Caenorhabditis elegans: one gene and its partner. The protein of the gene in region 1 purifies or fractionates together with the protein of each later gene. This does not show direct contact. Each region holds a gene or a part of one and is shown on either strand. Other genes may lie near its edges. The genes, in order: prx-19 and ndub-6.

Evidence for each region.
Region 2: the proteins of prx-19 (region 1) and ndub-6 fractionate together in Caenorhabditis elegans (co-fractionation; one large-scale study listed by BioGRID). This does not show direct contact.

Annotation. Positions count from the first base shown.
Region 1 is NC_003281.10:8,806,721-8,811,344, reverse strand, and holds prx-19 (Putative peroxisomal biogenesis factor 19), read left to right. Parts: upstream 1-2,049; 5' UTR 2,050-2,055; coding exon 2,056-2,153; intron 2,154-2,221; coding exon 2,222-2,699; intron 2,700-3,241; coding exon 3,242-3,514; 3' UTR 3,515-3,863; downstream 3,864-4,624. Other genes in the region: F54F2.7 (uncharacterized protein), read left to right, coding at 3,999-4,121, 4,357-4,452, 4,506-4,607.
Region 2 is NC_003282.8:11,650,893-11,654,261, reverse strand, and holds ndub-6 (NADH dehydrogenase [ubiquinone] 1 beta subcomplex subunit 6), read right to left. Parts: upstream 1,860-3,369; 5' UTR 1,854-1,859; coding exon 1,747-1,853; intron 1,694-1,746; coding exon 1,591-1,693; intron 1,539-1,590; coding exon 1,422-1,538; intron 1,357-1,421; coding exon 1,246-1,356; intron 1,193-1,245; coding exon 1,059-1,192; intron 1,010-1,058; coding exon 949-1,009; 3' UTR 830-948; downstream 1-829. Other genes in the region: ent-1 (Equilibrative nucleoside transporter 3), read left to right, coding at 1-12, 61-146, 246-560; acl-3 (Tafazzin family protein), read left to right, coding at 2,243-2,393, 2,443-2,562, 2,608-2,704, 2,761-3,040, 3,141-3,347.

The DNA of each region.
Region 1 (4,624 bases):
ATCATTAAACGACATAGTCGGCACAAGGATAACGAGTACAATCAAATTTTACATGCAACAAGAAATCTTATACACAGAGACACCCTTAAATTGGGTTAAGGACCCAGAGATGGGCGGTCCCTAGGAATGTTCGTTTTGAAAAGAATGACAATTAGCAGATTGTGTAGAGAGAGAGAGAGCAAGTGTAGAAGAAGACGAGAAAGACTATGGTGCTACTCAAAGAGATAAAATCAAAAAGTGAAGAAGAAGTGGGAGAAAAGGACACACCCTCTCGGGAATTCACATGGGCGCCCTCCTCCGCCCTTTTCTTGGTTTGAAAGAGCATATGGTGAATGAGATATTGATATACAACCAGATAATGAAGATTTGTTTGAACTTCGAATTATAGTAATCTGAATTTTCAGTTAAAACTTTGGGAAAAGTTTATCCTAATGTAATTTTTTCAATGTTGTTATGGGGACTTAAAATATGCGTATTTTGAAATATGAGTGTAATCTCCAACGCCAAATGGGTCTTGTTAGGTATTGGTGTTTTAACAATTTGTTTCAAGATAAAACGTGAATGAAGTGTAACATAAAATAATTAGAATAACAAAAAAATTTGGCCCATGATCCGAGGGTACATCGGAATAGGGTACATCGAGCGATTTTTCGTTCTTGGGGTACATTCGAGCAAAGGGTACAATCATTCTTAGGGTACATCCACCTGTTTGTTCAGAGGGTACATCCATGGGATTTTCATAGGGTACATCGGCACTATGTTCCAAGGGTACATCCAATTTTCAAGGGGTTCAACGGAAATTTATAACTGAAATTTCTTAGAGTTGTGATTTCTCATAATCATTTTCGCATATTATCGACTTTTTTTCGGTTTTTTTACTGTCGATATTGAAAAATTCGGAATTAAACCATTGTTTTGTTTCTTGATTTCAATTTTATGAATTACAAAACAATGGTTTAATTCGAATTTTTCAATACGGCAGTTAAAAAAAGAAAAAAAGTGATAATATGCAAAAATGATTATGAGAAATCACAACTCTAAGAAATTTCAGTTATAAATTTCCGTTGAACCCCTTGAAAATTGGATGTACCCTTGGAACATAGTGCCGATGTACCCTATGAAAATCCCATGGATGTACCCTCTGAACAAACCGTTGGATGTACCCTAAGAATGATTGTACCCTTTGCTCGAATGTACCCCGAGAACAAATGTACCCTCAATTCGATGTACCCTTGGATCATGGGCCAAAAAATTTAGAAAACTGCCAGAAATGCTTAAAAAATTGGCAAAATAATTGAAAACGTTTTTATTCTCGGTTTTGCCGCCAAAACCTAATGAGACCCAAACTATATGGGCGGAGCGTTCTTATTTGCCTGAAAATATGGTAAATCTTTTGATTAACTATACCACACGTCGTCAACGTATGAACTCCTTCATATATTTTTCAACAACCCCAACATATGTGTATTACACTAGATTTGTGTAAATCTCCTACCGAGAAGCAGTTGTCCTTTTGCAAACAACTGATTGCGCAGCGGTTTAAACAAGAAACGACGAGCAGGCATTCGAATTTGAACTACCGCCAACAACTGTCGCAAGCGCGCTCCGTAGATAAAAACTTTTCCGTGATGTAATTTGTGAACGAAACTAGAATTTTTCAGCGCTTTTATTTAATTTTCAGTATATTTTTGAATTTAAGTTGATTTTATTGATTTTTAAAGTAATTTTATGACAGAAAAAGAATGTCATTCGATTTTTAAGTAGCTTACTATGGATCCCACCGAAATCTGAAAACATTGCGACCTTGCCATTCGATTTTTTTAATAATCATAGCAATTTTAACATATGATCCTTATCGATAAATCTGAACACATAAATAGTACACTGTACCCATTTGTTTTTATTTGATAAGAACACAACCTCCCGTGTGTTCACCGATTGTGTGTTTTATCGATCCAAAAGTACCCCCGCATTTCTCCTTTTCACTTATTTCCCCCTTTTCTTCTCACCGCCTCACTCTTTCGACTTTTTATTTTGCCTCTTTTTCAGAAAAAGATGACTGACGAAACAACCCAAAATATTAAAGACAAAACAGAGGAAGAGCTTGCCGCTTTGCTTGATCAAACTTTGGGAGAATTCACGGCGACACCAGCGTAAGTTTTAAATGTTTTTTAAGCCTAAAGTAAAAAAGTTTTAGTTTCTCATCCGTTTTATTTTTCAGACCAAAACCACGTACAACAGATGATGAACTCGATGAACTGATGGCTTCAGCTGATCAAGAAGCTGCACAAAAAGCTGCGAAAGACTTCCAGAAAATGCTCGAACAAATGGTGACTCTGCAAGAAGAAGCCATGAAAAAAGCTGGAGCAGATCCATCAGAAGGAGAAGGAGAACAGCCACTTGATCCAAATGATCCAGAAGCTCTTGCAATGATGGATGCATTAAAACAACTTATGGAATGCTCATCAAATGTTGCAAATGCTAGCAACCCAGAAGAATTTATGGCTGGTCTTGATATGTTACGTTCTCCAAATTCTCCAATGGAGCCATTTATGAGCATGATTATGCAAACTCTAGCTTCAAAAGAAGTCATGTATCCCCCACTTAAAGAAATTTTCGATAACTATCCAAAGTATTTGGAGGATAACGGTGCTGGTTTAGATGCTGAAACAAAGGAACGATATGAGAAACAATTCGAGGTTATTTTCTCACATTTGCAACAAAAATATAGAAAAAGCCAAATTATTTTTGTATTCTCGCACGACGAAAAATGACCAATTTCGAAATGTTCGTGTTTTCCGGCTATATTTATTGGTTTTCTTTCTATTTATTGACTTGAAACACAATTTCTCAAATTTTTCGACGAATTCTTTGAAACAAAAACCGAAAAATATTTAAAATACAAATCTATAATTAAGCATTATTTTCAACTGTTGCAGAAAATTTCTGAAATGTTGAAAAAAAATTATTTCAATTCAATAGTTAAAGAAAAACCTAACTCAAAATATTCAAAAATATGATTTTGTGCGGGAATTCAAAAATAATTCAGCTATTCGAAATTTTAGTGCAAAAACGTAAAAAAAATATATGTATTTTTAAATTTTTTTTTTGCCCAAATGACAAACAATAGTGTCACTTTACTCAATGTTTTTTTTTTCTTTAAAAAAAAATTTTCTAAAAAAATTTTTTTTCTAAAAGCTGTGAACAAGTAATATTTCTCCCAAAATTTACTATTTTTCAGGTTCTTGGAAAAATCTGCACAGAATTCGAAAAACAACCAGAATTGGCCGAAGTTCAACCTGTAGACGCAGCCACTCAACCTGCTCCCGAAGCGGATCCAGCATCTATCGAACATTTTGAGAAGCTTGGAAAGTTGCTCGTCGAGCTCCAACAATACGGATATCCACCAAAAGAACTTGTTGGAGCACTTCCAGATGGATGGCAAATTGATGAGTCTGGTCTTCCGAAAGTTGCCGATGCTGCAGCAGCAACTGAAGCGTGCTCAATTATGTGAATACTATTAACTATGTTGTTATATCAAATTGAAGCCAAAGAAATAGAATTTTAGAAAAAATAAACTTTTGTGTTTAAAAAACATAACTGTTTCCCATCAACTCTTCAATATGATAATCCCTGAATAGAAATGTCTCTTCCCCAGTGTAGCAATAAGTGTCCTCAGTTATTTTCCACATTTTCTAAGTCAGTTACTAGTTTGGTTTTTTTTTGTTTTTTTTGTTATGCTTCAACGAATAGATTTTTCTTTTAAAGTTCGCTTTTCAAGTGTGTGGCCAAATTATTTTCCAAATTACAGTCTTTTCCTTATATCCAAACATGTTTCAAATCAATAAAGATTTATGAATTTGAATTCCCTTTGAACACTTGATGATCACAATTAACTGTAATTGATATTTTTCAGAATCAGAAATTTATCTATCATTAATGAGACTACAAATATCATATTTTTAGAAAATAAATTTGCTTTCAATTAAATATTTCAGATGTCTGGACACTCATATGCTTCTGTAGTCGATCGAATTTATTCAAGAAAAAGTTCGGAACTTTATGATAATATTGCATATCTTCATCATCCAAGTGGTGTCACCGTTGTCGTTCTTCGAAATGTGAGATTTTTCTGAAAGGCACACTTAAAGGCGCATACAGATCTCACCCCGGAAAAATTCGGCGAAAAATTTGAATATTCTATTAAAACAGGCCTGGTGCGGTTTGATACATGCCGATTTACTAAGATTTGCGAACTACATACGGAAAAGTGTGAATTTATCTGTTTTGCAAAAAATACATTTTATAAAGAAAATTTTTTTATTATATGTATAGAAAACAATTCAAAATGTTTAGATTCCTGAAAGTGAAGTTGTCGAAGTGGATTTTGGAACGACGAAGAAGCACGGCGCAGATCGTTCAACAAATCAAGTTTCTGGAAAAGGAAAAAAAGTGGGTAAAACAAAATTAATTTGAAAATAAAATAGTATTAAAAATGATTTCAGGGAGCTCTTATTCTACAACCCGACTCAAAATTGTGTACATTCAAATGCAAAGATGGTTCAGAGCATGTCGTGAGAGCAGGTGTTCGTGGAACTCTTGTTGAGGTACAGTACTCTTTAAA
Region 2 (3,369 bases), on another chromosome or scaffold:
TCCCATTGCCACGTCAGTTTTTCATCAATTCTCTTGAAATACATAACCGTGAATTTTCAGAAAAATACTTCATGGATGTGACCACATTCCTTCAATTCAACGTGTTCGCTTTTATTGGATCAATTGTCGCCGGAAGAAAGCAATGGGTATGTTTTTATTTTTTGAGATTTTGGCAAAATCTGATTGAAGGAATACCGTAAACTTGAATAAATTAGAATAATCTAATATATCAATATTTATTTCAGCCTGCGCCGAACAAGCTCTGGATTCCAGTCTACCTCCGTCTCCTCTATATTCCATTCTTCATCTTCTGCAACTATCTCCCTGAGACCCGTTCACTTCCCGTCTTTTTCGAATCCACCTGGCTTTTCGTCATTATCGCCGCCTCGATGAGCTTTGGAAGTGGATATTTCTCGGGACTCGCCATGATGTACACCTCGAAGACTGTTGATCCATCGAAGGCTCAGGTCGCTGGAATGATGGCCGGATTCTTCCTCATCTCTGGAATTGTCTCTGGTCTGATCTTCACAATGGTCATCAAGATGGTCGTCACGGCCTAAACTTCTTATTCCTCCTTATTTTATTCCCATCAACCTCATCATTAGCAATATTAATTCCCTAACGTAAATTCTTTCATAACCTTCAAGGTTTCCTCTGTAGTATCTTTATCCACTAGTGTTCTTTCCTTAAAATACCTCTTAATACTTTGTTGTTCTTTGTTATTTTCCTTCTTCAGGTATTTCCGCAGCACCATCTCGTTGTTCTCCTATTTTTTTATAATCTCAACTTGTTTTTTATGAATAAAACCTAGAAAGTTGGTTAAATAAATCATTCATGAAATTTTTTATTTACGGTAGGGTCAAAAACAAAGAAAAAACTTTAAAAATTCGTCTACAACACCCTAAAAGTACATATTCGAATGACTGATTGTCACTCGTTTCCTTTCGATTACCACGGTCGTTTTGTCTCTCCAACATCGAGGTAAGCAGTACGCTTATTAAATGTTGGTCTGAAAAGTTTCAATTTTCCAATATTCCACAAATTATTGTTTAACTCACGTGTAGTAGTCATCCTTGGATGGGTTGGCGAGTCCCTTATCCATGAGTCCAGGGAATTTCTCTTCAATTGCTGGAGCACTAGCAATAACTTCTTTTTGTGGCATCGATTCAAGTCCTCTCAAATGTGTCCAGTCCTTGAAAAGATAATGGTTCGTGAAATTAATATAAAATTCAAAAAATTGAATACCTTGACTTCGTATTTCCAATAATAATAGGCAGTCTGCACAACGACGAAAGCCATGAGCAATTTTGGAGCTGTAACTCTGATAGCGGTTCCATAGTAAACTCCGAATGTTGGCTGAAATGCAATAAATGAGAAATTCAAATTAAAAAATTGATTTTTTTAAAGAAAATATATCTCACCTTGAGGTAATGAAGATAGAACTTGTCCCATGGAAGTCTGTAAGCGGTTCTGATTGGGTTCAACTGACGATGAACGGCATCGACAACGACTGGCTCGTCAGCGTGAAGGTGCTGGTCCTAAACATAAACATTTTAGTATTAACAATTGACAAAAAATGTAAAAACTCACATGAACCCACTTCTTTCTCCATTCTCTTTCGGCTGGGCTCAAACCAGCGGCACGAACACGCTCATCGGCCATGTGGAGCTCGAGAGACATGCGGTCATTCACTCTGAATTTTTTTGTGTTGAATAGAATTTGTTGAACAGAATCTAAAAGAATTACCTGTGAAGAGGCTTGTCACCAGTCTTGACAAGCGCCGGTGGTGGAACTCCGGACCGGGTATAAGGGGAATTGCCCGTGCGTTCTGGTTTCACATACTGGTTACCCATTTGAGCCTGAAATTCGTTTTTATGAATTTGTGAGACTGCTTAAATATAAACTGAGTAAAAATCGATAATAATGAACGGGCACACAAAAAACATGATACATGACAACGAAATATAACAATTTAACATAAATTACATACGAAATCAATAAAATTTTAGCAAATTTGAATAAAACAAACTATTTTGCAGTTAAATTTAGATCTGCCATTTATTAAAAAGCCCGTTGCGGCTTGCAAAAGAAGGCGGAGTTTCGAGGTGCAAGCGCGCGGCGCACTTTTCTCTTTCTTTTTTCTTGCATTGTTCTGATTAAAATTAATATAGTTTCCACGTTCTCTAACACTTTATTATTCCATTCGAAAGATTTTTCTAAACTTTAAAAGTATTTCAGCACGATGTCGGGTACAATGCGGGATAAAACAAATGACGTGCAAGGCTTCCGGTTTGCATGGCCCTTTCCAAAAAAACCGTCACTTCTGTACCGTATAAAATCATACATGACAATGAGTTTAGTCACTTCAGTTTCCAAACTTATGTTCCTTGGAGGTTTGTCTTTTAATTAAAGTTTAAAATTATTAAATTCGATACATTTTAGGATCCAATAAGTTGATATGCCACAACAAAGAGACATTCGTCAAGATTTTGGAAAATCCGAATCAACCACTCATCACAGTCTCAAATCATCGCTCAAATATCGACGACCCGCTCATGTGGTGTAAGCCGAATGATTTATTATAGCATTCCTAATTTCTATTTTCAGGTATTCTGAAATTCCGTGAGTTTTGGAGATACAAAGATCGCAATAGATACACTCTCGCAGCTCACAACATTTGCTTCACAAAACAGTTCCATACAACGTAAGAGTTTTTTCTCTTGAATTTTTCAAATTAATCGTCGCATATTTATTTTTCAGAATGTTCTCATTAGGACGTTGTGTTCCGTGTGTTCGTGGAGAAGGAGTTTATCAAAAAGGAATGGATTTCTGTGTGGATATGCTGAATGATAATAAATGGGTTCATATCTTTCCAGAAGGAAAAGTGTGTACTCTTGAAAGTGAACCACTACGATTCAAGTGGGGAATTGGAAGGCTTGTGATGGATGCTAAAACCGATCCAGTAATATTGCCTGTATGGTGTAAAGAGATGGAAAAAGTTTGGCCAACACAACCTCCATACTATCCTAAATTTGGAAATGTAAGTCGGAAGATTTTTCAAGTTCAATAATCAAATTTAGACGTAAAAATATAAAATCTGCAAAAAACGTAGTGAAATTATTCATTTTTTTCCGTTTCAGACCGTAACAGTTCACATCGGAGAGCCATTTTTCCTGTCTGATCTCAAGAAAACAGTTCTATCAAAGTCACTGACCACTGAACAAATGCGAAAAATCATCACTGACGAAGTTCAGACACGGATGTATCAATTGGGAGAGAAAGTTGGTGATCTTCCTAAAGGATCGTCACTGGAAATTCTTCGAAAAAATCCGCCAATTGAATATTAAACTTGATTCCCCATAGCTTTAA